Linked DNA regions of Elephas maximus indicus. The protein of the gene in region 1 interacts with the protein of each later gene in a pairwise test. Links are inferred from orthologs where the notes say so. Each region holds a gene or a part of one and is shown on either strand. Other genes may lie near its edges. The genes, in order: SPG21, CTPS2, AKIRIN2 and RTN4.

Region 1 (8,058 bases):
CCAGGAAACTTCTTTGCTTTTGGTCCAGTGCAGTTGAGCTGACCTTCCCTGTATTGAGTATTGTCCTTCCCTTCACCTAAAGTAGTTCTTATCTACTAACTAATCAGTAAATAACCCTCTCCCACCCTCCCTCCCTCCCCCCTCTCATAACCACAAAAGAATGTGTTCTTCTCAGTTTATACTATTTCTCAAGATCTTATAATAGTGGTCTTATACAATTATTTGTCCTTTTGCATCTGACTAATTTCACTCAGCATAATGCCTTCCAGGTTCCTCCGTGTTATGAAATGTTTCACAGATTCCTCACTAATCTTTACCGATGCGTAGTATTCCATTGTGTGAATGTACCACAATTTATTTAACCATTCATCCGTTGATGGACACCTTGGTTACGTCCAGCTTTTTGCTACTGTAAACACTGTGCAGGGATATTTTTATAAAAATAATAAATTTCTGCTGCAACAGTGCACAAAAATTTTATAGACAGTTATTTTGGTGTCACCCCCTCTGACAGTGTCGCCTGGTGCAGTCTGTACCCCTTACACCCCCTTAATGATGCCACTGATCCATGAAATGAAGAATCATACCTACTTTGCAAGGATTGTCATGAAGAATAGAAATAATATATATAACACACCTAGCACAGTGCCTGGAACACAGTCAGTTCTCAATACCGATACTATTAGCTAATATTTACTGAGTGCTGGCCCCATTTCTAAGGATGTGACATGGACTATCTCATTTTATCTTTGCAATAACCTTGTAAGGCAGGTACTGTTATTTATCTTCCTTTTTCTGGATGAGGTGACCAAAGCGCAAGAATGTTAAATAGCTCATAAGTGGTGAGCTGGTATTTACACCTTGGGTTTGTCTGACTCCAGTCTGAGGGCCTAACCATTCTAATACGCTGCCTCTACTTGCAAATGTTTTTATCCTTCATCTGGGAATTTAAGGTGTTAGACTTTGGCTTTCAGAAGCTAAGGAAGGAGCACACATGCTAATCCAGTGCCCGTTATATGCAGGGACTGTACTATCCGGTTTCAAAAAGATTTTTCTCATTTTAGTCACAACTTAATCACTGTCTTTTTTTTACCTTTACAAATTTCGATAATTCTCTAGAATCTTACAGTCAGAAGCTGCTTTATTTTGTATTAAAACAGTGACACTCTTGTTTTCCAAGATTCTTTATTGCTGTTTTTATCCCAAGATGGCAAATTACCAGCTTTTACAGGAGGGACATTATGAGCTCCTGGGTTGGCAGATGATACAAAAAACTCGGCACCTTTGCTTAGCAGTTCCTATTTTAATAAGTGAACAGTTAACAAACAATAAGTCTTCCAACAAGTTAAAATACTGTTTCAGTTAAATCGGCATTTTTTGTGTATAGGCTAATTTTTTTAAAGTTTAATTGGAAATCAGAAAGGGGGGATTAACAGAAGTTTTTCAAGGAAAGGCTATTGCAAAGATTTTTAAATACGTTCCTCATAAATTTATAGAATACAAGATCTTAGAATCAGAAAGGACTTAGAGACCTTTTAGTCCATCCTTGGACTCTTTTTACAGGGAAGTCAAGTCAGGCCTCAAGAGGAAATGTCTGCCCAGGGAAAGAACTCAGGTTTCTTAGTTACCCAATCATAACTAATTAGCAATGATAAATAACTGTATATAACTCCTCTTTGATGGGGTCTTTAGGTAGCAGGCTAAAGAAGAGCCATGTCAGCATCTTTCTTGGGCAGTTCCAGAATCCCCACTTGTCTGATCCCTAGAATCCAGTGCAGTGTGCATTTGACACAGAGCTGCATTCATTTTCAGTCTTGGGTTTCAGCATAATTGGTATGTAACACTGCAGTTAATCACACCTCGAGAAGCTTTAAAGAGAGGTATTTCAAGAATTGGTATTTGTCTGAAAAACCAAGTGTTTTGTTACAGATATTAAATTCACAGATTTTAAATGTTCCTTATTTGGACAGGAAACCCTGGTGGTGTAGTGGTTAAAAGCTATGGCTGCTAACCAAAAGATCAGCAGTTTGAATCCACCAGGCGCTCCTTGGAAACTCTATGGGGCAGTTTTACTCTGTCTTATAGGGTTTCTATGAGTCGACCACAACAGGTTTGGTTTGGTTTTGGTTTTGTTTGGATTAGAAAATGGACAATGTGCTTGTCATGTGATATGGAATAACTTCAGGACCCAAACATGACTGTGGGGTCCTTTTCACTTTTTCACAGATCCATGGTTCCTGGAGGCAAAATGTGGGTATTCACTCTAAGCGGTTCACTGGAGGAAACAGCATATATCATGTGAAACCACATGGGGTATTTGGGACCCTTGCAGCAGCTGGTATGATGAGAGTACCTTGGTCCCATAGAGAGGTCGGTCAAGAGCCTGACCTGCTCAAACGAGCTTGGACTTTAGTTTGAAGGCAGTGGTATTGAAAGCCAGGGAGTCGCACAAACATCCAAAAAAACCAAACCCATTGCCACTGAGTCGATTCCAACTCATAGTGACCCTACAGGGCAGAGTAGAACATAGCTGCGTTTTATTATTTTTATCACACAAATACATGAATGCATTCTTATACAGATTCAAATACTACATCTAAAGCCAAAAGATTTCTTCACCACCCCCTCACCCTACCTTCAATTACTCCTCAAAGATAATCACTATCCTGTTTGGTGTGTATGCTTTTCAACATTAAAAAAAAAAAAATTCACTGATGTATATATATGCATAGAGATATATCTAGAATTGTCTTTTAGGTGTGTTTTAAACTCTATGCATGTGTGAACACAGTTGCTTGGAGTTGAGCCCTTCTGAGACCCAGCTGGCCATGTTTACTTTGGTGTTCACAGCATATTTTGTGAGCATTCCAGTTTTCACATGAGATTCTAACACAGGGACTGGTGCTGTGGGAACCATCTGGTAGACCCCAACCACAACAGCTGCAAACCCTCCCAGCAACATCCACAATGTTGGCCTGCACTGTGGTGTACCCTGGGTCAAAAGTTTGCTGCCGGCAGCTGTGCCTTACAGGACAGCTGGAATTCCCAGGTATTAAATGTTCCTTGTTCAGATTAGAAAATGGGCAGTTTGGTTGTCATGTGTTATGGAACAACTGAGGATCCAAACAGGGCCATGGGGTCTTTTTCTAATGGAAACAAGCAAACTAGTCATTATTTTTGGGGTCTAATCTTTTACATTGTAACAAAAGTAGGTACATAACAAAACATAGCTTTATACCTGTTGCCTTTGAGTCAAATGGACTCATAGCGACCCTATAGCTATCTAGTGATATGTTTTTTTATTATCAACAGTCAAGTTCAAAATTATTATTACCAAACCTAACAGACAAGGACTTCTAATATTTATGGGCATAGTCAATCCATAGCTTAGATCTCATCAGGGCTGTTACTAAAGTGAGGTGTAGGGATGTGAGGTCTAAGGAATCGTAGGAATACATGTGGATGGATTTATTCATTCACTCATGCATGCACGTATTCATTCATTCAACATGAGTGGGAATTGACTCTGTGGGATACAACACTCTCATATACGTACCTGGCCTCCCTGTCAGACTGAGCCAGTGGCCATTTCCTAAGTGACTCTTAGCTTTCCTCCCACTTCTGTGCCAATGTTCCAGTCTTCTTTCTGTTTTATCCTGATTGCTAACACAAACCTTATGTCTTTTTGTATTTTTCCAGTGTCTCTTTAAAGTTCTTGTGAATTTTTTTGGTTTTTAATGGAAATAAATTATTAGGACATGTCCTATGGCACTGGCTGAACCCCTGTTGCCTTTGCTTTCCATAGAAGCTCCTGGCCACCTTGGGGACAGAGAACAAATGTAATGAGTTTCCATAATGGGTTTTACATACAAGGAGTGATTTGAGAGCTATTCCATTCATTAAACTATTCTAAATTTTTGAGAAAAGCCCTCTAATGTTGGAAACATGCCCTATACGCCAATATGGTGCTTATAATAAAGGATTACTTCCTGTGACTGACTCTGAATTCTGAAAGAGGTGATTTGGAGAAAATCAGGTGACTGTGTCACTGTGCTCTTGGGAAATACATTTGGTATTTGTCCAAGTTCTAGACTGGGACCCACAGCTCCTGGGCAGAGAGGACAGAAGTCATGACTAAAGACGCAATTTACTAGTCATGTCCCCTGACCTGAATTTTGTGAACACTAGACAGGGTAAGGGCAAAGTCTGAAGAAGGCCTTCCAGTAAAGCAGATTAGGGAGAGGCACTTTCAGCAGGACCTTGTTGCAAGATCATACAGGGAGATTTACATGTTGTTCAGCCTTATACATTATTTCAATGCAAACCTGCGACTATTTTATTGACAGGATGTCGTGACTTTTCCAGGACCTTGCTTGAGAACAGTGATCGTAAGTACATCAACATTCTCTATGCCCTTAAGGGTAAAGTGATGGAGCAGGAAGCTCCTTCGGAGCCTGTTCCGGAAATCCCCCAGAACGTCAGCACACAGCTGGAAAGGGAGGTGGGGCACTCGCTACCGTGCCAGGAAAAGAGTATACAGAACCCCGTGCCCCAAAACCTGGAACCCAAGGGGATGCCCTCAAGCTTTACACGGCAGAGGGGAAACGGCGGGCACCTACTTTCTCCAAGTGGACGCGAACTGAATGCAGAAGCGGGTCCCAGGGGACCCAGCGCTCTCTTCTTTCCCACGACTTTCCCCTAGATGCCCAACTCAGTACAGGCGACCGAAAGCCGACCCAGAGGCAACACAGACCTGTCAGCACCTGACGCCACAGCCAGGTGCGGCGCCCGCTGCCCCAGCCTTAGGCGGGATCCCGCGAGCGTCTAGGAGCCTCCGACCCCTGGCGCCAACCCGCCGCGTCACCATGGAGACCGCCGGAGCCACGCGGCCCGCCCCTTCCTCGTGACGTGGCCCCGCCCGCCGCCAAACCCGGAAGCGCAAGGCCGGCGCCCGCTGTGCGGAGGGTGCGGGAGGGGGAGCGCGGCGGCGGAGGCGGTGGCCCAGGCTCGCTCGGCTGCGCGCCCCGCCCCTCGGAGGCCGGCCCTGCAGCGCGCCCCTGCCGCCGTCCGCCCTGCGGGTCCTGAGCGCTCGTGCCGGGCCCGGACCCCCGACTCCCCGGCCAGCCGCCTCCCCGGCCCGAGCCGGGCCTGAAGGGGAAGGGCCGTGGGCTGACCACGGCAGGTGAGGGGTGGGCGAGGCCGTGGGAAGTGGGCTGGGGGCGTGTGTAGGGTGCGCGGCTGCTTCGGTCGGTGTGACTGTACGGGTGGCCCCGAGTGGGCAGGTCCATGTGACGGTGTGCGTGACTGCAAGCCTGTGTGTGTCTGTGTCTGTGTGTCTGAGGCCGAACCTGGGTCCTGGGGGTGGTCGCTGTGCCTGGGGCTCCGCCTTTATGTGGCTGCAACCGGTGGGCCCGGGTGAGGGTGGGTGGGGGATTGTGTGTGGGTCGCCTCGGGGAGCTTGCCCAGGCAGGGCATCCTCCTGTAAACCCAGCCCGGGCTACGCAGCCTCAGCCAGGAACATTTTTTTCGGTAAACTTTTAGGAACTCTGGGCAGAGGCTGGTTATTTCGGAGATTGCACCTCAGCCTGAAAGTCACAAATGCCTTTGTCATTGCTGAGGAAGGCCAGGTATGAGGCTCGTGGATGAGGGTGAGGAAAGTCACAGCGCTAGGATGTCTGTTTTCCTGGGGAGCTACAGGCTTGGGCTTAGGCTGCTGCTTTGTTTTCACCTACAAGGGGTGGTCCAGCTCCAGTTGGCACAAAAATCCGAAAGACTGAGGAGTAATTTAACAGTTGTGTCCGAATTTCCAAAAACTTTTATACCGAGAGCACAAGATGCCGTGTCACAGAAGAGATGCTGAGCAGACAGCTTTTTCTTCCATGAAGTTTAGAAAATAATGGAATAGGTTCCTGAAGAAAAGGATATATCTTCCCTGAAAATATATTTAAAAGATAGCTATGTGCTGGTGTCTAGGTCTGGAGACTTGCCTTAAAAAGCCGATTGCATCACCTAGAGACTCCTGGGTACTATTATTTTGTTATTGTTGGTATTAATAACAATCAGAGACTGTCCATATGTAGATCAACTATGGGTTGAGGTAAAAGATGGGAAGTCTCTGACTGGGTAAGCTCATTATGTGACTTCTTAAACGTTTGTGAAGGCCATTTTGTTGCCTGTAACCTGGCTGGTTCTGTTGAAATCCTGAGGGACAAGTGTCTGATCCTCCAGGCAGGCTCAACGGCTGACAGTTTTGTTGTCCAGCAGCATAAGGGCCAGGGAGGACTGGGTGTCCTCAGCACACCCTAGGACAGATTTCCTTAGGCAAGATTGAGGCTAATCTATTTGGCACTTTTCTGACCAGCACGAAAAGGTGCTTTTGTGTTTTGTGAAGAACTGAATTGTGAGAGATCAAATCAGTATTGAGCTCACGATGCGCGTTCTTGTTTAATACTGGTCAATTTGGTCACAGCCTTGGTTCATCTTCTCTGCCGTGTTCAGAATGTACGTCTTGTGACTTCAGTGGATGAAGGAGCCCCTGGGTAGTGCACACAGTTAAGCACTCAGCTACTATCAGAAAGGTTGGTGGTTTGAATCTGCCCAGAGGTGCCTTGGAAGAAAGCCCCAGTGATGTACTTCTGAAAGATCACAGCCATTGAAAAACCTATGGAGGAACCCTTTTCCACTTACTGTTGTGGGGAAGAGGTCTGTGCCTGAGTGAATTTGTGTGCCTGTGTATGATGCGTACATGCCTGTTAGTATAGTAGTTAGGTTTGTACATTGCAACTGATCCCAAAACTGTGAACAATAAATTAAATTATTACTCTGAAACACATGGGATGGCCAGGAGTGAGAATTGTCTCCACAGCTACTGGTTGGTTTAGTGGATGGGAAAAAAGGTAGGAGAACAAACTTTCCTTTTCCTACCACTCACAGCTGCTTTGCCTTTGCTGCAGTGAGATTTTTTCCAGGGAGATGTCTGTTGGTCAGCCGTAACATTTGGTATCTCTGTTGCCTTTCAAGTACTGCCAAACTAGCACAAGTGTTACAATCACTTGTCTCCATAAAAATTTAGTCACAGTTGGATGTTATATCTCCATCCAGCAGGGTTAGTTATAAAATGTTATAATACTTAGGTGGTTTTGAATAGGACTGAGGACTGTTGGTAAGGAACTCCTTTCTACTGATCGCCTGCTGTGGGGAAGAAGTCTGTGACTGAGTGGATTTGCATGCCTTTGTATGATGCGTACATGCATGTTTGTACAGTAGTTTGGTTTGTATGTTGCAATTGATCCCAAAACTCTGAAGTTTATTTTATCTCAAATTTGGGGAATCTAGAAGCAGACTTTCTGCCTTTAATTAGCTAAGATGTTTTTATAAATCTATCAAGTAGATTTTATTTGCTAAACATGTTTTTTATATTGCTTCCTATAGGATAGAGTAATTGTTTCTAGTGATGCATTACTGTAACATGTCTAGTATTTCAAATCCGTCCAGGTAAAAAAATACAACAGGATTAATTATATGTGCTAGTTGCTTTTAACTAAAAGTAATAATCAGCTTAGGGAGAGACTCCAGCTCAGGTGGCTTAGATTTTTCAACGTGGTAATATTTGTGAAGATGAAATGGATATGCAGAGAATGGTGTTCTTTATTTCTGTGTGAGTAATAACCACGTCTGTGCACATTGATTTTCAGCACAAGACTGGCTGATGATTTTCTTGGTACTTCAAAGCAACTTATGATTTTAACAAGCTTTTCTAAAACTACCGTCTTAGCCTTGAGAGAAGAGACCATTATTACAATGTCCGAGTTGTAAATCAAGTTTAGTATTGGAATGTCTAGATTTACTGTCTCCTTATTTTTAGGGTTTAGTTTAGTAACACCTCAAGGTTAGAGGTGACAGCAGAGACTGCTGCGTGTCCTGTGTTCCTGAAGGGCTAAGGAGGAAGAGCGCCACTGGATTTAGAACCCCTCACTCCTTGCCAGTCCAGAGGACTCCGTCTAAAACGACAGTTCAGCGTCAGCCAGGAATAAAATCCTAGAGTCTCGAACTCGTCTT
Region 2 (7,556 bases), on another chromosome or scaffold:
TTAAGAGAATTCTATTACTAGATGAAACCCTATATCCTGTGGAGAAAAGTCTGGCTTTGGAGACAGACATTTTGGACCGAAGTCCTTGCTTTGGCACTCACATTAACTCATGTACATTTGGACAAGGCACTTCCCATCTCTGAGCCTTGGGTTCCTCATTAGAAGAGTATAACGGCCCTGGTTGTAAATTGGAAATAAAGTACTGAAATATGGAAGGAAAGCCTTGTGTACCTGGCAGGTAATAAGTATTACTGTTGAGATCACCTATTTCACAAACATCCTTTCCACTGGGTGCTCTAGAAGGCTTGCTTCATTGATAAACCCATCTATCTGTATCTCCAGCCTTTTCACAAGGTGTTTCCTCCTTATTTCGGCCTTTACGGAGACCTGGGTCTCCACTGGAGCCCTGGTGGTGCAGTGGTTAAGCATTGGGCTGCTAACCAAAAGGTCGGCAGTTCAGATCCACCAGTCACTCCGTGGGGCCCCCCCATGGGACAGTTCTACTCTGTCTTATAGGGTTGCTATGAGTCAGAATGGACTCTACAGCAATGAGTTCTTTTTTTTGTAATGAGGATCCCTAAGGATGACCCCGAGTAAAGCCTGTGCTCATTTTCTCAGAAGCTGACATCAGTATCCCTAGCCCCTTACTGCCTCTTCCACAACACATCTCTTTCACCCTTCATAGGAGAAAGTCTCCCTTTTGTTTTGAAACAAATTTTGCTATACAACTCTTTAGGCAGCTGTGTGGGGCAAATGGTTAAGTACTTAACTACTAGCCAAAAGGTTGGCAGTTTGAACCCATCCAGAGGTGCCTAGGAAGACAGGCCTGGTGATCTGCTTCCGAAAGGTCACAGCCTTGAAAACCCTATAAAGCCCAGTTCTACTGTGCACACATGGGGTCGCCATGAGTTGGAATCGACTTGACAGCAACTAACAACAACATACAACTCTTTATCCTTCTCTGTTGTCTTCATCTGTTAGCTCCAGGGTTACTTCCTACATTCACTGAAGATTTGGGTCCTGGGCCTCAATTTACTCCTCAACTCCCACCTCCTTCATGCAGCCCTCAATGCCCAATACACTCGCCTTGTAAGTGCTAGATCCAATTCCAGTGATCGCCATCTCACTTTTTATTCCGTATGAGTGGTCATACCCTACATCTTATCATCTCCTCTAACTGCTTCCCCTTTGAAGTCTTTGACTCCCACATCACACTCTCTGGTGACAGCGTACCAGTTCTCCCATTCTCATAGGCCCTCTTTGAATTGAGCCTCCAGTCTTTTTTTTTTAATAATTTTTAATGTGCCTTAAGTGAAAGTTTACAAATCATGTCAGTTTCTCATACAAAAACTTATATACATCCTGATTTACACTCCTAATTGCTCTCCCCCCAATGAGACAGCACACTCCCTCCCTCCACTCTCTCTTCTCTTGTCCACTCGGCCAGCTTCTGGCCCCCTTTGCCCTCTCATCTCCCCTCCAGATAGGAGATGCCAACATAGTTTCATGTGTCTACTTGATCCAAGCAGCTCATTCTTCATCAGTATTATTTTCCATCCCATAGTCCAGTCCAATCCCAGTCTGAAGAGTTGGCTTTGGGAATGGTTCCTGTCTTGGGCTAACAGAAGGTCTGGGGACTATGACTTCTGGGGTCCTTCTAGTCCCAGTCTGACCATTAAGTCTGGTCTTTTTATGAGAATTTGGGGTCTGCATCCCACTGCTCTCCTGCTCCCTCAGAGGTTCTCTGTTGTGTTTCCTGTCAGGGCAGTCATCGGTTGTGGCCGGGCACCATCTAGTTCTTCTGGTCTCAGGCTAATGTAGTCTCTGGTTTATGTGGTCCTTTCTGTTTCTTGGGCTCATAATTACCTTGTGTCCTTGGTGTTCTTCATTCTTCCTTTGAGCCTCCAGTCTTTTGATCCTTCTCTTTTCTTTTTTCCCCATCTCTTAGCTCCCTGCTGGGTTCAGTTCCTTTCCTCTACACACTAGACCCCTATTCCATTACTACAATCTCACTCTTTTAGCACCCTCAACTCCCTCCCCGTCTTGTCCTTCTACTGTACCCAACCAGCAATCTCTGCTTTTATCATAAGTATCTATATTTTTTTATCTATGTTTATCTATATATATATTTGGAAACCCTGGTGGTGTAGTGGTTAAGTGCTACAGCTGCTAACCAAAAGATCAGTAGTTCAAATCTACCAGGCGCTCCTTGGAAACTCTATGTGGTAGTTCTACTCTGTCTTACAGGGTCCCTATGAGTTGGAATCAACTCAACGGCAATGGGTTTGGTTTTTTGGTTTTATTCTATATATCTTGCAAAATTATAGCTGAACATCACTACACAATTATGGTTCTTAAACTTCACTAGGTCTTCAGTGAAGTCCCTGAGTGGAACAAATGGTTAAGTGCTCAACTACTAATCAAAAGGTTGGTGACTGAAACCTACCCAGAGGTAGGTTCTCGTGATCTGCTTCTGAAAGGTCATAGCTTCTGAAAGGTCATAGCCTTGAAAACCCTATGGAGTGTAGTCCTACTCTGCAACACATGGGATCATCATGAGTCAGTCAGAATTGACTTGATGGCAACTGGTTTGAATTTTTTTTTTTTTAGTGACACTTGACTAACTTGTCCCTCTAGTGTCTCAGACTGGTTATTCAAAACTTTTACCACTTTCTTAAACCTTCCATTTCACTTCAAAACCTTCTATTTTCTGTAGATAGCCCTGGCTATACGATAGAGAAAACAGAAGTCCTCTTTCTGGGCCAAACTCTTTCAGCTTCCCATCCCTATACGCACACATTTTCTGTATTCTCACCTTTCCTTACCTCTTTCCCTCCAATCTCAAAGGAAGAGACATTTCTCCTCTGGCTGAAAGCTAATTCTATCCATCTGCACTCTATATCTCTTCCCTGGGACTCTAATCTTCTCTCCTGTATCTTTAACTTCTCCCTCCTTCCCTTCAACCCATAAACATACTTAAAATTTACTTACCTATCATTTTTCTGGAAACCCTGGTGGCGTAGTGGTTAAATGCAACAGCTGTTAACTGGAAGGCTGGCAGTTCGAATCCACCAGGCACTCTTTGGAAACCCCATGGGGCAGTTCTACTCTGTCCTATAGGGTCTCTGTGAGTCGGGTTTTTGGTTTTTATCATTTTTCCACTGCTTCTTTCCATTTCAGGCTTTGCAAAAGGCTGTCTTGACTTACCATCTCAATTTTCCTTACTCTTCGATCCATGAGCGATATGGTTTCCGACCCCACTGCACTGCTGAAAAAGAGTTCCCGTGAAGACGCTGGTTGCTCTCCCTAAATTGGAAGTGTACTTTTCAGTCTTTACTTCCCTGTGTTCTCTGAGGCACCTGGCAGACAGCTCAGGAGCACCTGGCTTTCTGAAAAAAAAAAAACGATCCTCTCCTGCTTCTTTCCCTTCTTGTTTGCAACCGCTTCTGCTCCTATTGCATTTGCTAGTTCTCCTTCTAGGTAGGGCTTAGCTCTGAGGAGAGAAGGGCAACACCTTTCTTTGAGATAGCTGGGAAGCAAGTACAGATAAAGAACAATTCAGATCAGTGGCCTTACTGGCAGACAATTTTTAAACAAATTCCCTTTTTACATATCATTGGTGATTTCCAGTCCTCTTTTTCTTTCTCTACACTGTTTCCTTACATAAGTTCAACACTGGTGGCTTTCACTACCTATATCTCTAGGTCCTTTTCCTGATCCCTAAACCCATACGCCCAGAAGTCTAGGAAGACCTCTTACCCTGCTGGCTCCTAGATCCCTTAGTTAGGCCCATAGCTGAAGGAGTTCTCCTCCTTGGTTCAATCTGATTTGTTCCTCTGGTACTCCCTGATTTGGTAAAGATAGCACTGTGCATCTGTGCCTCCTCCTCATCTTCTACTTGGACCACTCCAAAGAAAACCAGACCCTTAAAAAAAAGACCCTTAGGCCCCTGAATATAGTTCCTAGAATATGCACTTTGTTTTCCTAAGGTAGGAGGGGGTTAGCACTAACAGCAAGACTTTGCAAGGAGAGACCCCTTTTAAAGGCAGTAACTTAGGGTCTTTGAAACCAAATGCCCTTATTTGTAAGCCGCTGGGTGGCATAAGGGTTCAAGTCCACCCAGACACCTCCGAAGAAAGGCCTGGCGGTCTACTTCTGAAAAGTCACAGCCATTGAAAACTCTGTGGAGCACAGTTCTACTCTGACACGCATGGGGTCACTCTGTGATTGCAACGGTTTCTGTTTTTGGTCCCTACTTGTAAAAGGAGGTAACAATGCAAATGAGAAAGCCTGTTTAAGGGAGCTGTTACCTAGCAAATGCTCAGACACCGTTAGAGTCTTTCTCCTGGTGCTTTGTAAGCTCTTCCCTTCTCCTTAATAACCTCTGGTGTCCTTTCTCAACACCAGCCAACCACCAAATCCTCTTAAGTTACTCTGAAGCTCTGATTGTTCTCTGACTTCTCCCCCCGCCCTCCAGCAACTTCTCCTTCTATGAAACTTCACTGATTCCAGTCCTTTTGTAGCTCTCCCGCCAGACGGCGAGCCCCTCAAACGCAGAATTCCGTTTTCTTTCGCCCTCTCCTGAGCGCTCCTGCAGTTTCTGGCGCATAGTCAGGGATCAGCAAACGTTTGTGACAGAGCGCAGCTCTTCACAATAGTGAGAGCTGGACGGGAGGACCCAGGCTGGGGGCTTGGCCGCAGAAGGGGCCGGGGCTCGCCGGGGACCGTGAAGTTAACCGCGCGTCGGGAGTGCCAGTGCCAAGTGAGCTGCGGCTGGGGGAGCGGGTTGGGAAGAGCGAGGCCTGGGGCCGCGGGCGCCCCGGGCGGTGGGCGGGGGCTGGCGGTGCCAGAGGAGGCACTTTTAGCGCTTGGTGTTGGCCGTTGCCCAGACTCGGGTGTCAGCCCCAGGCTCCCCGGCCAGAATCAGCCGGGCGGGCTGCAGGGCACAAGGGGAGAGGCCCGCGTGGGCGGCGGGAGGACCGGTGGGGACTCCGGACACCCCTAGCGGCGGCCGCCTTCATCGCCCGGTCCCACAGGTGAGTGCCAGGCAGGCCGCGGGGCGGAGCCTGCCGTCGCCACCGGCCACCCAGCCCGGCGCCGCCACCACCGCGCAGGTAACTTCCCGCCCGGGTCTCCCCCGCGCCTCCGGGACCCCCAGAGCCTCCGCGCCCGTGCCCCTCGGCCGGCCCTGTGCCCCCAGCCCCGGCGCGCCGTGGCGCCTTTGTCCCCCGCCCCGATGGCGGCGGCGCTTGCCCCTGCGCAGAGTCCGCGCTCGGCCCAGAGCCGGCGTGTCCCGGGAGTGGGCCGGCGCAGGGAGCCGGGGCACCGCCCTGCCCGCGCCCGTCGGAGCCCGCCCGTGGGCGTCCGGCGCCGGGCGTTGCCCAACTCCCTCTCCGCGCCGCGGCGCCCCGATCCCTCCCTTCCTCCCCGCACTCGGGGCCTGAGCGCCCCGGGACCACGCTCGCGGAAGTGGGGCCCCGCGCCGAGGGCCATCCCCTTCCCCCAGCCGGGCGCACTTGCAGCAACAACCCTGGCTTTCCCCCTTAATAGCTGGCTGTGGAGCACGGCGCTGAACTGCGCTAGTGCCACCAAATAGCTTTTTTTGGCATCTTTTTTTTTTAAACCGATGTTTAATTTATATACAGTAAAATGCACCAGTTTTAAGTGTGCAGATCAGTGAGACTTGACAAATTATACAGCCGTTACAATCACTCCCCCAAAGGAGACATAGAATGTTTCCATCACCCACTTTCCTTCGCGCTCCTTTCCAGTCAATCCCCGCCCACAGTTCTGATTTCTGTCATAGCTTACTTAGTTTTGCCTGTTCTAGAACTTAATAAAAATGGGATCATTCAGTGGATACTCTTTTCTGTTTGACTAAAAGTAATTTTTAAGTGGCCATCACTGAGAAGGGGTCTTCTGGTGTTTGGTGTGTGCTCTGGGTCTGCGAAGCCCAATATGGTAGCACCGCCACGTGCGGCCACTGAGCGCTGGAAACGTGGCTTGTCTGCGCTGAGATGTGCTATGAGCATACGCAGCTAATTTCGGAAGACTTAGTACAGAAAAAGAATGTTAAATATCTCATAAATGAAATTTTATGTTGAATACTCGTTAAAATGATAATATTTGGAATGTATTGGGTTAAGTAATAACATTAAAATTCACTTCAGCTGTTTTCAATTTTTCATGTGGCTACTAGAAGATTTAAAATGAGACACGTGGCTCACATATTTTTGTTGGACAGCGCAGCTCTACGCTCCTATTTTAGAAACATTTGGCTCTGCTTCCTGTTATTACAGTAAATGAAAAAGTTGAATCTTCACAAGGGAAGCTATTCCCATCGCAAGGAAGTGATCTAAAACAGAGCCTGACTTCTGCAGGTTTTAAACTTTGTTTCACTTACTTGTTTGCTTAAAAGAGGTAGAAAGGACTAGCTATAGCTGGGCGATAAGTTACATTTTCAAGGACTTTCTAAAATATCGCAAGTGCTTAAAAAGGCACCCTGTGTGTGTGAAAAACAGAAAACTAGTAATTGCCTACAACCCAAATGCCTAAATATATTAAAAATGAACATTTTGGTGTACTTTTGACCAGTCATAATTAAACTTAGTTGAGATAATATTGTGTTCAATTTTATATCATGCTTTTTTCACGTAGCATAGGTTTTAGAATATGGTAAAATTAGAGAAACAGTTATTTTCCCTTTAATCCCGTGGGAAATGTGAAATCTGAGAAGACAGAGATGTTGTCTTTTTTGTTTACTCCTATAGCCCCAGGAACTGGGAACAAGTCAAGCACTAATAAAATAAAAAAAACAAACCCATTGCCATCCAATTGATTTTGACTCGTGGTGACCCCATTTGTTATAGAGTAAAACTGCTCCACAGGGGTTTCTTGGTTGTAATCTTTATGGAGGAAACCCTGGTGGTGCAGTGGTTAAGTTCTACAGCTGCTAACCAATAAAGGTCAGCAGTTCGAATCCACCAGGTGCTCCCTGGAAACTCTATAGGGCAGTTCTACTCTGTTCTATAGAGTCTCTGTGAGTCGGAATCGACTCGACGGCAACATGGCTTTTTTTGCGTGTATTTTAATCTTTATGGAAACAAATTTACAGGCCTTTCTTCCATGGTTCCACTGAGTGGGTTCGAACCACCAACCTTTTGGTTAGTAGCTGAGAGCAAACCGTTTGCACGACCTAGGGACCTTCAAGCACTAAAAAAAAAAAAAGCACTAATAAAAAAAAACCCGTTGCCGTCGAGTCAATTCTGATTCATAGCAGCCCTGTAGGACAGGGTAGAACTGCCCTGTAGAGTTTCCGAGGAGTGCCTGGTGGATTCGAACTGCTGACCTTTTGGTTAGCAGCCGTAGCACTTAACCACTACACCACCAGGGTTTCCTCAAGCACTAAGAGATGTTCGATAAACACTTGAGAGCTGATCAAATAAGTGAGTAGGTGGCGCTGAGAAATGGTAACAGCTACCTTTATTTATCCCTTATGCATGCTTTGTAAATCCCCAAATAAGTCTCTGAGGTAAGTACTATTATTACCACTATGT
Region 3 (7,521 bases), on another chromosome or scaffold:
TTTCACTTAAATTAGCTTGCCAGATAATTGAAACTTTTTCTTAAATACTATCAATAGGACATTTACTAATATTGTATTGGAATGTGAAAACTGAAACACTTTTTGAACAGCCTGCTAAACTTAGTTTGAGGTTTTTCTTGATGTCTCAGGGTCACTGTCTTGCACAGCATTATCTAGGGTTGCCAGCTAAAATATAGGACACTTAGTAAAATTTGAGTTTCAGAAAAGCACATACAATACTTGATCTGAAATTTAAATTTAACTGAGCTTCCTATATTTTTCTTTGTTAAATCTGGCAACCCTACCATTATCACACGGTGCTATAATAACGCAGGGATGCTTCAGGTGCAATTGAGCTCTGTAATTGTCCTGATGTTTAAGTGGCTCAAGGCCGCTGTGCTTTTTGAATTTTGTAGTTTTTTTTTTTCTTTTAATAGTCTTTTTCCTTGCTCTTCAGTGATTTCTATTGTTTGTTGTAGTCAGTGTACAGCAGCATCTCCAGTCCTCTTTTCCCACTCCTACTTGATTCTTCTAATTGGTTTGGGCTGGGAAATAGAATCCCCAAACGAGATAGAATATTCTGAATTTTTAAGTTAAATAGTTTCAGAGTAAGGTACAGAGGTTCTCCCTTGAGAACAACACCCTGCAAATTTTAAAGTAAGGACTTCTTATAATCCTTCCACAGAAATTTCCATAGAAATCGTGCTGTGTTCCTTTGAAAGTCCCTCAGGATAAGTGAGTTATAGCTTATTTCCTGGAGTGCTCTGTTCTTTATAGAGCACGATACAAGTAGAAATCAGCTTCTAATGTAGAAAAGATTAAAGCCAGATTAGAGAATTTGCAATGGTGTTTTTACACTTGACCAGGATTCTGGATGTTGTTCCAGAAAATCTTTAGGAAGTCAGACAGATACCTATCTGGTTTGAGCAGAGTATAGGTATTCTTGCCTAGAGGCTTGAGGCTGGACTATGTGACATATTGAGGTTACTTGAGGCCATATGGCTTTGATTACTCTGTAATAGCAACTCAAAATAATGACACAAATTCAGAATAATGAAGCCAAAGTAAAATTAGCCAGCATCTTATCTACAATGAAGAATTGTATGTATTTCAAACATGGTGCTTAGAAGAGGTTTGGGCCAGCCTACAAAATCTTGTGAGGAACCAATTACAATGTCTATTCTTCCCTAACTGTGCTCATTCACACTATGATTAAACATTTTAATGCTTATTCTCAATGTAGATCTGAAGTAGCTTCTGAATTAGAACTGCTTTTCCTAATGCTGACCCTATGATTACTCAAACTCAGTACGCAGTTAGCAAACGTCTCTCCACACCTCATGTATTTGCATTTATCTTTACTTGATGTCAGAAAAACCGTCTGAAGATGGTTTTTAATATGAAGAGGCTCTTCAGGCTCAGGATGATGAGACTTTGTGTCACCCAGCCATGTCTACTTTTACTGGCTTTAGTCAAAGAATGACTCATCAGAATCAGATCCTAGGGAATATTTTAGGAGGTGTTAGAAAAGCCTAATGCTAAGTTATTCCAGCATGTTGGTAAAACAGTTTTTCTTCAGAGGCTTCTGAGATTTGTACAAATCAGAAAATACTTGTTAGATGATGGGAAAACTATTCTAAATAATTCAAACCTCTAAAATTCCTTAAAAGCCTTTTAGTCACAACAAGAGCAATTCTGGTCTTCGTAGATCACTGGAGTCACTTGCTGTACTCAATATTTAGGTTCATGTAACCTGATTCAAATTATTAATGTGTTAAATATAGTTTTGTTTTTCAATTGTAGTCGAAGATTATTTTAGGTTTCTTCTTTTTTTTTCCTCCATCAGCTTTCTTCTACCCTAAAACGGTTGCTATAATATTTTAGCAGATATCTATCTTAAGGCACAGGGTGATGTGGGCCGTGGGAGGATGTTTTTGTGAGTTGCCATGGAGTCTATTCCGACTTACGGGGACCCCATGTGGATAGGGCGATAAAAATAATCCTTTAAGAACATTCACTGAGTATTTATTAAAGAGTAAAACGCACTGTACTATTGGCAAGGAGCTTACACAACGATGAGAGAAGCAGATTTATGAACAAAGAATTATATTACAATGTGGTGAGGGTAATGATGAAGATAATTTATCACTAGTAAAACTAATTCAGCCCTGAAGGGTTGAGAAGACTTCCTGGAGGAGTTAATCCCTGGGGTGAGTCTTAAAGTGTCAGTAGGCACAAGCCTGGGCAGTGTTTTTCAGTTGTTCGTGGGGTCGCTATGCTGGAGGCTGACTGGAGGGCAGCTAACAACAACAACCGAAAAAAAAGAAAAAACCAAACCCATAGTTTCATGGGTTTCATGGATTAAAGTTTAGTATTTAGTAAAAATTTATCTAGTAAGTGTCATAGTTAAACTAGTATCTCATTAAAAGCTGATCTTTTCAAAAGATATTTTCCACAGTATAAGTTAAGATGTACATGGCTTAGTTGTTGAGACTAACCTTGTGATCAGGACTGCTGATCTTTGAAATGCTGGACAATTCTATAAGCACATATTGAACTACTATCCAAAAACAGTATAAACAATAATAGACAAAGTGGCTACAAAACATCTTTTAGTTACTGAATAAACGGGCATTGAAAGCCAGTATTTGACATCTATAATCATTTGATAGAATGCCATTCACATAAAATAGTTTGTATTAGACTGGTGACAGCTTCTATAGGCCGAGGACATGCTAGTTCTTACTAACGCTGTATTTAATTATTTTAGTACCTGAACAAGAGTATAATTTTCATAAACTTTTTTTTCTCTGCTTACAAAGTGGGTTCAGTATTTACTACTTACACATTTTATTTGGGTCCCTGGGTGGTGCAAACAATTTGCTCTTTACTACAAACCTAAAAGGAACCCTGATGGTGCAGTGGTTAAGTGCTTGCCTGCTAACTCAAAGGCAGTATGAACCCACAAGCCACTCCACAACAGGAAGATGTGACAGTTTCTGTAAAGATTACCTGTTGCCGTGGAGGCGACCCTACAGGACAGAGTAGAACTGTCCCACACAGTTACCAAGGAGTGGATGATGGATTTGAACTGCTGATGTTTTGGTTAGCAGCTATAGTTCTTAACTACTGCGCCACCAGGGGTTCTCTGTGAAGATTATAGCCTTGGAAACTCTATGGGGCAGTTCCACTCTGTCCTGTAGGGTCTCTATGACTCAGAATCCACACAATACCAATGTGTTTGATTGGGTTTTCGGTACTAACCTAAAGGTTGGGGGTTGGTGTTCATCCAGTGGTGCCACAGAAGAACGATCTGGTGATTTGCTTCTATAAAAATTTTGTTGTTGTTAGGTGCTGTCCAGCCAGTTCCGACTCATGGCAACCCTACCTACAACAGAATGAAACACTGTCCAGTCCTGTGCCATCTTTACAATCCCTGCTGTTTGAGCCCATTGTTGCAGCCACTGTGTCAATCTATCTTGTTGAGGGTTTTTCTTTTTCAATGACCCTCTACTTTACCAAACATGATGTCCTTCTCCAGGGACCGGTTCCTCCTGATAACATGTCCAAAGTACCTGAGTCAAAGTCTAGTCATCCTGGCTTATAAAGAGCATTCTGGCTATACTTCCTCCAAGACAAACATTATGAAGCAGTTCAGCACATGGGGTTGCCACGAGTCGGAACTGACTGGACAGCAAAGGGTTTGGTTTTTTTTTTTGGTTTATACATTTTATTGTCTTTTTAATTCTTACCATCCACATAGGATATACGCCAATATGCAACAGAGATAATACAATTTCTCATATTATTCGCTTTTTATCCAAAGCAAAACAGTTCGGTTCTGGACATTGTTCAAATCCTATTTATTACAGAAATAAAACTGTCTTTGCAGAATTAAGTGGATGCAAGCAGCTACCTGGGAAGGGGAAAAAATCGAGTTCAAATGAGGACCTTGTAATCTAATAGTGTCGCTCGCAGTCCTAACTGGGTTCCATAATCTCATTTTCTAGCCCCTCGATGTGACAGGTTTTGGAACTCTTATTATTGAAATTAACCTTTCTTGGACTGTTAGGTTGGTTTAGTTTTGTATTTCCCAGTTGTTAACTCACTAGGGGGAATTGTATGAGAATAACTACCTCCTGAGTTTTTATGGTCTGTATATTTCTTAATCCGCTTTTGCCATGGGTTTGCTCTCCTCTCTCCCCCTCCGGCTTTTACCTCTTTAGCTCAGTTCCTTTTACATTCAAGCTGTGTAAGGGGGATTTAAATCCAACCCGGAACTCGGACTCTCCCGTCTTGCAAGACGGGAGTCGTAGTTTGTCCGAAGGTATCTCAGCGCCTTTCGGGCCGAGTCTTTCTCACGGAGAAAAACTACAACTCCCATAAGACACCCTAAGGGGAGGGGGTGGCACCTCCCTTACGCGCACGCGCCTTGAGGCCGCAGGATTTGAATCGGCGGCGTTGTTGTTGACGCCATATTGGGGCCGGCGGCGGGTGGAAGAGTCATACAGTGGAGAGGAAAGCGGCTGGACGTGTTTGTTTGAGCTCCTGAAGCCGCCTCACCTCGTAATCCCTCCGCATCGACCGCCGCTCGCAAGCTACTGACCCTAGTCGGGGACTTTAGGAGCCGCGTTCAAGCCTCACACTTCTCGGGGTTGTTATCGACTTCCGAAGGGAGCCAGTCTCATCGCGGGAGCGCCTCAGGCGCGGCGCAAAGCTCGCACGGACGGTGGGGGCGGCCAGAGCCTCTCCCCGGGGAGCCGCGCCTGAGGAGGCGGAAGAGCCCCCCCTGACGCGGCTGGCGTGAGCCGCCGCCACCGCCCCTCTCGTTCCTGCCCCCGCCGGCCCCGGCCACTGCCCTGCCGCGGAGGCGGCGGCGGCGGCGGCTCTCTTCTCCTCAGCCGGCGTTCGGCGACCAGCCTTTATCTCTGTGAACCCGTTGGTTAGGCTTTCTCAGACCCCGCGTTCCCCCTTCCCTTCCTCTGCCTCCCCCCCCTCCCGTCACCCCTTCCCGACCCCACCCGAGCCCGGCGCCTTCGCTGCCCCCGGCCATGGCGTGCGGAGCCACTCTGAAAAGGACTCTTGATTTCGACCCACTGCTGAGCCCGGCGTCCCCAAAGCGGAGGCGATGTGCACCGTTGTCGGCGCCCACCTCGGCCGCTGCCTCTCCGTCGGCGGCGGCAGCGGCCACAGCCGCCTCCTTCTCGGCCGCCGCTGCCTCGCCGCAGAAGTATCACCGAATGGAGCCGTCCCCCTTCGGCGATGTCTCCTCTCGCCTCACTACAGGTGGGTCCTGCCCGCCGGGGTAGGGGAGAGGACCGGGGTCCCGGGGCCGCGGGATGCGGCTGCTGAAGTGGGGGTTCCGGACTGTTCCGCGTGTCCTGAGCTAAGTAGCCGGGCAAGCACATTTCTTTTAATTTGTTTCTCCAGCTACAGAGACACAATAGAAATGGGTTTATGTCATGGGGGTCGGGAGGTGGGGCGGGTAGGAACCGTGTTCTGCCGGTACTGTGGGGAAGAGGACGATGCTTTTCTCTAGGCTGAATGACTGGAATTGAGTGTTTCCGTAGTCGGCAGAGGCCCAGCGGAAACGATCAGATAAGGCGATATTATTCATAAATTTAGGCGAGAGAGGAGTCACATTTCACTCGAATCTCGTCTTTCTTGCCTGAATCGATTGGTTGCAGCTATTAACGCTAGGACGGCGGGGTGGGGGGCTTGAGGCGAGGCGGCAGCCCCTCCTCCAGTTCAGACATGGCTGATTTTAGTATAGAGGGGGTGGGGGGTGGGGATGGATGTCACTGGGGCGAGTTCTAGGCCTGTCATTAATCACCCACAAGAACGCCACTTTGGGTGAGTCAAGACCTGTTTCTTTAGCAGGGTCAACAACAAAGAAAATGCGTTTCCCGGGTACGGTAATATGACCACACAATATGTCAAAACCAAAACCATTGCCGTCGAGTCGATTCCGACTCATAGCGACCCTGTAGGACGGAGTATAAGTGCCCCATAGGGTTTCCAAGACTGAATCTTGACGGAAGCAGACTGCCACATCTTTCTCCTGGTCTAGAGTGTTGGAACCACTGACCTTTCAGTTAGCCGCCGAGCGCTTAACCACTGCGCTACTAGGGCTCCTTGCTAAACGTCTAGACCCCGAGGAATACTGAACTTCTAATGACAAGCAAATGGTATTGGAAACACGGGCTGAGCATTTGCTTTTAGTTGGAAATGCTTTATTTCTGCCTAAGAAAATATGTTGGGAGAAAAAAGCCTAGGCATTGAGAGTAATAAATGAACCCCACATTCCGAGGGACTTTTTTCTTTTCATGTTGAAACATTTTCTGAAAGTGACTATGGGGAAATGCCTTTTGGCTGCTCCCTACAGCATGTGTATGCCCAATTTTTTCTGTACTTTGAAAGCCTTGTGTGCCCCTGGCACAGTCCTAGGATAGGCTTTTGTGGACTTGAAGTGTAAATCTGTTTCCTTTGTGTGGAGCACGCAAAGGTTTTGTATATGAGCCTTTGGTAATAATATGACCCTAGATAAAAAGCCTTTTTCATGGCTTGATTTAAATGTCTTGTTATCCTTAGTTTAAAACAAACAAAAATCTGTGGGCAGCATGTAGCTCTGTATTTGGTAACTTCAATTTGAAATTGACTGGTTTTAAATTTTATTGTATTGAAGTCAGGTTTTTAATTTCCCTTTCCAGATGGTTGGGGAGGGGGGGCTTACATACCCAGGCTTCCGTTTTTGCTGTTAAATATTTGGTCTAACTTAAGGGCATGCTGTTTCAGAGTGGTAGTGAGCCTTGAATTCACAGGTATTTTTATTTAATGACCATATCAAAATCATCTTTTGTGTAAAGGCATTCACTGATTTATTGTGAAACTTTACTTGAAAACATAAAGGAAACACAGTGTTCAGGATGAGCTGGTATTTAACATTACATTTAGAGTCTGTCTTTTTAGTGAAATGGTGTCAGTTGAAATGGTATCATGGAATCTGTACTTAACTATCAAGGCCATTTAAAAATAGCTGTAGCTAACCAGCAATAAATTTCCTTCAAGGGGGTGAATTAATACAGTGTTGGGTTTGGGAGCTGTAAGCTAACCAGCAATAAATTTCCTTCAAGGGAGTGAATTAATACAGTGTTAGGTTTGGGAGTTAAAGTATATTTCAGTGCTGAAACAGTCTTGAGCATATGGTAAGCCAGCCCGAAGCTGTACCATTTTCCCCACTTTAAAGGTAACTTATTCCGAAAGAATTGTGATCCTTTGAAAGCCTGTAATCTAATTTATATATTTGTAGCATTGGTTGATGCAGTTGGCTCTGAGTTATCTCACATATTTCAATTGATTAAGTGGACTTTAACAATAAAACAGTTGGAATTGTTAAAGCCAGCTACTTCAAATTCACTTTCATTTTCAAAACACTGGTTATGTCTTCTTCAAGGTACTTTTCGACATCTGTTTTTAAAGCTTGATCATATCCTGAAATCTGAAGTCATATGCTAATTGAGT
Region 4 (7,320 bases), on another chromosome or scaffold:
GCTGTGGTTCACAGCTGTTGAGATAGGTTTGTCTGGAACCCAATTCTCCGGCAGTGTCTGAACCCCCTCTGGAATCCACATCCCACGATGTAAAAAAAAAAAAACAATTAACCATTCTGCATATACCAGGTTATATCAATTCAGCATTTTCTGCAACAATGTGTAATACTATAAAGAAGAAATGGGCTGTTTCGCTAAGAAGTGAGTCTCCCTTTGCTGAAAATGTTCAAGCACGTTTGTGTCTGTTTTATTCAATGCTGTATCCCCAGAGACCTAAGCAGTGCCTTAAAAAAAAAACCCAAAATCAAACCTGTTGTTGGCCAGTCCATTCCAACTCATAGTGACCATACAGGACAGAGTAGAACTGCCACATATGGTTTCCAAAGAGCAGCTGGTGGATTCGAACTGCCCACCCTTTGGTTTGCAGTCTGAGCTCTTAACCACTGCACCACCAGGGCTCCAGAACAGTGCCTGGTACATAGTAAATACCCAACAAATATTTCTTGTGTGAATGAATAAAGCAAAATTGGATGATGTTTCAATTAGCTTTTGCTGTGTAATGAACCACCTCAAGAGGTTGAAAATAACAATGATTCATCATTTTTTATGATTCTGTGGGTTGGCTGGACATCTGAGATGGCCTCACTCTCATTTCTGGGACATGAGTTGAGTGGCTCAGATGGCTAGGTCGCTCTGACCATGTGATTTCCATCTTCCATAATGAATACCATTAGCTGCCTTCCGGTCAGCTCTGACTCATGGCGACCCCATGCACAAGGGAATGAAATGCTGCCCAGTCCTGCATCATCCCTGTGATTGATTGTCGTTCACCCTGATGTGATTCATAAGGTTTTCACTGGCTGATTTTCAGAAGTAGATCTCTAGGCCTTTCTTCCTAGTTCATCTTAGGCTGGAAGCTCTGCTAAAACCTGTTCAGTATCATAGCAACAGGGATAAATAGTCTAGGTTTTTTCACAGGGCCTCAGCATTCCAAGAGGGGGAAAGAGGAAGCTGTAGCGCCCCTGGTGGTTAGGCTTGGAACTCACTTCTAGAATATTCTATTGATCAAGTAAGTCACAAGCCCACCTTAGGCGAGGTGAGGCGATAGACTTCAACTCTTGATGGGACTTGCTGCGAAGAGTTTGTGGCCATTTTTAATCTACCACAGAAGACCAACTTTATAAACCTTCCTAGGGAGTTCTTGTCATGGAGGGAGGTAGGTCAAGCTGACCTCTCAGAACCCTTCTGGCTCTGAGATTCTAGGAGTCTCTGAACGGATCTCAGGTAGTGTTCTGAGAGACAACAGTTCCTAAGAAGTAGATATCTGGGAACTTTAATCCTTTACTTCTGGTAAGATCATTTCAAAGATATTTCACTAAATAATTATTCTCAAACTCTTATGATTTAGAATTTGCATTTTTTCCTTAAGCGTTCCAAACGTCCACCAGAATTTTGTTAGCGAGAGCAGCCTTTGCATCTAATTACACTAAGGCGTAACTAGCTTATAATTCTGGTATAGCAGCAACGTTCTCCTTTCTTTGTGCTTTGTTGACCATCCTACAGACGCTGGGTAAATGCCTTACTCTTATTCACGCATCAAATATTAATTTTTAGAAGCTGCTGAGATCAATAATATAAAATTCTTATTTTTCTTCTGCATCAGAGGAGAGTGCATCAGAATTCATCGCTGTTTACTATTAACGTTGCAGCTCTACTACTTTTCCGTAACATGGACTATACTCATTCTTTTATAAAACTTTCAATAGATTAAGAATATTCCTTTGAGACTATTTTAGTAGTAGCAGGTACAGAGACACAGGAATACAGAAATATCACATAAGTAACTTACAGATGATACAGGAGAACCCTGTGTAACTTCCCATTCAGCTGTTTCAAAACAACCATAGTAGGAGAAACAGCCGAACTGTGACTTCATAGAAAAAGTTTGTACCATAAACATTTTGCTAGTATATTTTTGTATATGTATACAATTAGTTGAAAATCATGTATATTTTAGGTAATTTTTGACAAATACTCAAAACGTGACTATTTCAGTCATCATTGTAGGAATCAGTTTTAACCTGGCATTACCTTATCAGCAAAATAAGCCAGTAGAAGGTTTGAAGAGAGAAGTTTTAAGTTGAAGACAGAACATTTGTTAACCACTAAAAACCCCATTGCTGTCGAGTCAATTCCGATTCATAGCGGCCCTATAGGACAGAGTAGAACTGCTCCATAGAGTTTCCAAGGAGCGCCTGGTGGATTTGAACTGCCGACCTCTTGGTTAGCAGCTGTAGCACTTAACCACTAAGCAACCAGGTTTTCCTGTGTTAACCACTATCACCCCCAAATTCTACTTCAATGCTTTTCTCTTCCTACTCTTTTCAAAAACCCCAACCTAAACAAACCCCAAACAACTCACAACCATTTCGAGAGTAATAAAGCCAGTTTATCTTTGTGGAATTAGTGCTAGGCCTTAAATGTATTGTTGATAGTTCACTGGATCAGGTAACATTGCCAGGAAATCTTGTTCTACGTTTTTTTTTTAGATTCCTTTTTTTTTTTTAGGGTAATAGGGCTGCTAACCAAAAGGTCGGCAGTTCGAATCTGCCAGGTGCTCCTTGAAAACTCTATGGGGCAGTTCTGCTTTGTCCTATAGGGTCACTATGAGTCGGAATTGACTTGACGGCAGTGGGTTTAGGGTAATACTAATTAGTTAGAGCTAACAATTTGCTTAAATAACCTGCGATTCTCAGCAGCAGTTAAAATATCTCGATCATTAATCTAGACTACCACTGTCCAATAGAGATATATTCTGAGCTATATATGCATTTACAAGTTTCTGTAGTCACATTGGAAACCCTGGCCGTGTAGTGGTTAAGAGCTACAGCTGCTAACCAAAGGGCTGGCAGTTTGAATCCACCAGGCGCTTCTCAGAAACCCTTTGGGCAAGTTCTACTCCGTTCTTTCCGTTGCTGAGTCAGGATCGACTTGATGGCAACGGTTTTTTTTTAATAGTCACATTAAAAAAGTAAAATGAAACAAGTGAGATTAATGGTATATTTTACTTATCCCAACATATCCAAAGTATTATCAATTTCAACCAAAATTAAAAAAAGATATTTTATATACTTTTTTGGGGGGGAGAGTAGTCTTTGAAATCTGGTGTGCATTTATGTTGACACAGCACATTTCGAGTGCTCTGAGCCACAAGTGACCCGGGGCTACAGCACTGGCCAGCGCAGGTCTAGAGCGAGCAACTTGAGAGCACGTTATCCTCGTCTCTCCAGGGCCTCGCGGAGAAGGCATTGCAGAGAAAGGTAAAAGAATCCATAAACCTCCGGATGCTGATTCTTTTATGGTCTGCAACCACGTTCTCTAAACGTTCCAGTTTGGGGAAAAGAGGAATAAAGAGCAGACTCATTCTGGCGTATCCAAGTAGTGTGTATCGGGCTTCCTGACTCCCAGAAAGCCTGAGTCATCCGAGATGTCGACGGACGAGCCCAAGGTGACTGGGGAGGTAACGCGAACCCCATTTGCCTTCCGAGGCGTTCTTTGTTTCCACTTCCCCCTCTTCCCCGTCTCTCTTCGGTGACTCATCCATCCACCATGTGAACGTCCAGCCACGGTGCCCAAAACCCTCCCGGAGGGAGATGAGCGGACCGCGAGGCCCTCCACCCCAAACGCCCCGATCCTCTGCTCGGCCCTATTTGCCTGCGTCATTCCAGGGCTGCAGTTCAGGCGGGGAGCGACCCTAACTGTCAAAACAAACTTCTTGGGGGGTGATGAGGTGGGTTGGGAATGTTAAGTTTGGAAAAAAGTCATCTTTTATTTCAAATTCTTTATCAATTGAATGTGTATTTAAATCACGAAGGCCTCCTTCCACACTATGGGTTTTTCCCTCTCCGGGGAGGAAAGTTTCCACACCGCGCCCCCCGCCCAACAGGATAACGCCCTTCCGGTGGTGCGCCAGAAAGCCCTCCGACCCCTTCCGGTCCGCAGTCGGCTCCGGGTCGCTGGACTTGAACGACAAACCGACCTCCAGCTACCGGGCAAGGCCGAGACCCCACCCAGTCGCCCATCCACCCAGGGTGGGGGTGGGGCTCCCAGGTCCAAACCCCGCCCACGGAACTCATGCCCAGCCGGTCAGAGAGAGGAAGTGCGCCAAGCCCCGCCCGCCGTCATCTCTTTCCCTTCCCGTTGGGCCGGCTGGTTGTCCATCTCGCCCATCTCGGCGCCGATTGGCCCTCTCCCTCCCGCGCCAGTCGCTGCCCCGCCCGGGGGGAGGGTGAGTCACGCCAAAAGGGGCGGGGCGTCGGCTGGCCTCTCCTTGGTCGCCTGGGCGGCGGCGGCGGCAGCTGGGGACCGGGCGGCTGGCGCATCAGCGCGCGGAGGCAGGAGGCGCAGGCTCATTGTTCCGGGAGTCGTCGGCCCTGCAGCTCCCTCGGCTCGGTGGGCCCGGCCCGCTCCGTGCTCCCCGCCCCCACCAGCGCCGGCGCGCGGCGGCGGAGAAGCGGCAGCACCGTCTGCAGCCCGGCCGCCATGGAAGACCTGGACCAGTCGCCGCTGGTGTCCTCGTCGGCGGACACCCCGCCCCGGCCGCAGCCCCAGTTCAAGTACCAGTTCGTGCGGGAGCCGGAGGACGAGGAGGACGAGGAGGAGGAGGAGGACGAGGAGGACGAGGACGAGGACCTGGAGGAGCTGGAGGTGCTGGAGAGGAAGCCCGCCGCCGGGCTGGCGGCCGCCCCGGTGCCCGCCGCGCCGGTGCCCGCCCCGGCGCCCGCCCCGGCGCCCTCCGCCCCGGCGCCCGCCGCCCCCGCGCCCCTGCTGGACTTGGGGGATGACCTGGTGCCCCCGGCGCCCCGGGGCCCTCTGCCGGCCGCGCCCTCCGCCGCCCCCGAGCGCCCGGCGCCCTGGGACCCCAGTCCCGCGGCGGCCACGGTGCCCGCGCAGAGCCTGCCCGCGGCCGCAACCTCGCCCTCCGCGCTCCCCGAGGACGACGAGCCCCCGGCCCGGCCGCCCCCTCCTCCCCCGGCCGGCATGAGCCCCCAGGCTGAGCCCGCGTGGACCCCGGCCCCCGCCGCGCCCCCCTCCACGCCGGCCGCGCCCAAGCGCAAGGGCTCCTCGGGCTCCGCGGGTGAGTGCCGCGCCCTCGCCCCTTTGTGTGCAGCTCCCGACGCGCGCCGGCCCGCCCTCCGGACCCCGGGGGGCTTTGTCTGCGGACGGGGGAGACGGGTGGGGCGCCGGGGAAGCCCGGCTTCATTGTCTGGCTGGGTTTCGGGGAGCACGTGCACCCCACCCGCTCCCGACCCTCCCTTCTCCCCTTCCTTCCCTCTGGTCCCCATTCCACTGCGTCCCCGAAGTGGGGCACGCGCCGTAGTGGGTGTGGGTGGAGGAACTGGGGTTGTGGACTCACTGGGCTGGCTTGGTGTCGGGATGGGCAGCCCTTGGCGCCCTAAGCTTTTAGGAAAGGCTTTTGTCTGCCCGTCTGGGAAAGGGTGCAGCTTCACTGCGGGGCTGTTGTCATTCAGCCCAGGGCCCCCTTCCCACCCCCTCGCTAGTGTAGGCAGTCCCCCTGCGCTCCAGACTCCACACCCCACTTCTGCGCTAGTGGGGAGCTGGCCTCATGGAAAAAAACGTCCACACTGACCCAGCCGCAGTGTAGGGAGAGCGCCTCCAGTGGTGTGGTGCGGGGACAGTTGGGGAGGAGAGGGTTCTGGCCAAGCCTGCCACCGCCCAGTTTAGCAGGCTTGTGAGGTGGCGACTCCCCACCAGCTGAACTGAGCCTTCGAGACGCCATCTGGGCATTGTGGTCCGAGGGGGCGCAGTTCTGCCAGGCTCTCAGGGGGAGGGGGCATTGTTAGTGTGGACCGATTCGGCCTCGATGCACCATAATTTAAGGGGGTTGGGGAGACAGCAAAATGGTTGACATCCTTAAAGAAGAGGAAATCTGTAGATTCCTTGCTGGAACCCGGCCAGTTGGACTTGTGACAGATTCCCCATGAGGCTTAATGAAATATTTTGGTTAGATATACTATTTCTGAGAAGTTTTAGGTCACCAGTGATAAACCTGTATGGTCTCCAAGAGTTTTTAAATCTTAACTCGTATGCGTGGCTGATTGTATATTGTTATTATTTTTCAGAACATTGTTTTATTACTCTTTTCATCTTGGGAAGCTATTTAGGAAGAGAAAAAAAATCAAGCTTGTTAGAGACTGGGGGACTTGTTAGGTGCATGGCTCAGTAGGTTGTTCTTTTGGGACACAAAATGCCCTACCAGCTGTGTAACCTTTCTTTAGGTAAAAGGTCAAGAATCAGGTAGTATAAATGCTTGCTGAGAAATCTTCATAGCCTTGTAGAATTTTAGAAGTGAGTGGTCCATTTTCTAGAAAAAGAAAATCAGTTTGAGATCACACAATAGATTTTTTTTTCTTCCAGTTCACTCCTATCCTTTCAGGGAAAGTAAGCCAAGTGCGACAATGCTTCTGAAATAACGTTTCAATATTGGCTGCCCCACAGCACTGCTCAGAAGGTCTTAGAAGATGAGAAGTAATTCAGTCTTTCCTTTTTTCTGTATCAAAAAGAAACACTTGAGGGAAAATAAGGTGATGGATAAAAATATAAAGCAGCGAGAAATTTGCAGAAAGGAAATGTAATCATTGACGAAAGCATACTGCCTTGTTATCTTGGATCCCCGAATAGGAACTGAGAGGAGAGTTCTGTTCTTTGACCAGTGGTGGTCCAGGAGGTAACTGCGTTCATTCTCTTAGAATCTTGACTGTTGGAACCCTAAACTTAGGAGATGAGAGAATACTGCCTTTCTTAGATGCAGGAACATGGTGGTTACAGTCATAGATAGCCATATCAATGAGTCTAGTCTTCCTAACACCGTTTTTCATTGGATCAGCAAATTATTGATTGCCTGACGAGATAGGCACTGTTCTGGGCTCCGAGGACCTAGCAAGAAGCAAGACGTGTGCCTGCCTGGGGGCAGGGTACAGAGAATAAACATGGATAAGAAACTTGAAATGGTGGTAAGTGCTATGAGGAAAATAAACTGGGTGACGCCATGGAGAATGTTTAATTAGGATGTGTGAAATGTTCCAAGCAGCTCCTGGGGCAAAGGCTCTTGGATGCTTGAGAATCTGTAAGAAGGCTAGTGAGTAAAACCAGGGGGAGAGTGGTGTAAAAGGAGGGTGGAGAGGTGACTGGCACGCAGGTGCTTTTTGTTGTCTAACAGGCCATGGTAATAATTTGGTCTTTTTAAGCAAATACTGTTTATTTTAGAAATATGCTCCTGAAATTTAATTTTATTGTGAT

Evidence for each region.
Region 2: the proteins of SPG21 (region 1) and CTPS2 interact in binary tests that used the Homo sapiens proteins (3 or more experiments, as listed by UniProt). The two-hybrid records come from large-scale screens. The link is inferred for Elephas maximus indicus from reciprocal best matches to the Homo sapiens genes SPG21 and CTPS2.
Region 3: the proteins of SPG21 (region 1) and AKIRIN2 interact in binary tests that used the Homo sapiens proteins (3 or more experiments, as listed by UniProt). The two-hybrid records come from large-scale screens. The link is inferred for Elephas maximus indicus from reciprocal best matches to the Homo sapiens genes SPG21 and AKIRIN2.
Region 4: the proteins of SPG21 (region 1) and RTN4 interact in a two-hybrid assay, tested with the Homo sapiens proteins (2 studies listed by BioGRID and IntAct). The two-hybrid records come from large-scale screens. The link is inferred for Elephas maximus indicus from reciprocal best matches to the Homo sapiens genes SPG21 and RTN4.

Annotation. Positions count from the first base shown.
Region 1 is NC_064831.1:55,137,388-55,145,445, reverse strand, and holds the start of SPG21 (maspardin), read left to right. Parts: upstream 1-5,048; 5' UTR 5,049-5,182; intron 5,183-8,058. UniProt on the Homo sapiens protein: May play a role as a negative regulatory factor in CD4-dependent T-cell activation.
Region 2 is NC_064846.1:162,888,618-162,896,173, forward strand, and holds the start of CTPS2 (CTP synthase 2), read left to right. Parts: upstream 1-4,551; 5' UTR 4,552-4,762; intron 4,763-4,837; exon of another isoform or gene 4,838-5,114; intron 5,115-7,556. UniProt on the Homo sapiens protein: Catalyzes the ATP-dependent amination of UTP to CTP with either L-glutamine or ammonia as the source of nitrogen. Constitutes the rate-limiting enzyme in the synthesis of cytosine nucleotides.
Region 3 is NC_064819.1:151,247,786-151,255,306, reverse strand, and holds the start of AKIRIN2 (akirin-2), read left to right. Parts: upstream 1-4,465; 5' UTR 4,466-5,051; coding exon 5,052-5,286; intron 5,287-7,521. UniProt on the Homo sapiens protein: Molecular adapter that acts as a bridge between a variety of multiprotein complexes, and which is involved in embryonic development, immunity, myogenesis and brain development.
Region 4 is NC_064844.1:7,147,644-7,154,963, forward strand, and holds the start of RTN4 (reticulon-4), read left to right. Parts: upstream 1-4,314; 5' UTR 4,315-4,542; coding exon 4,543-5,137; intron 5,138-7,320. UniProt on the Homo sapiens protein: Required to induce the formation and stabilization of endoplasmic reticulum (ER) tubules. They regulate membrane morphogenesis in the ER by promoting tubular ER production.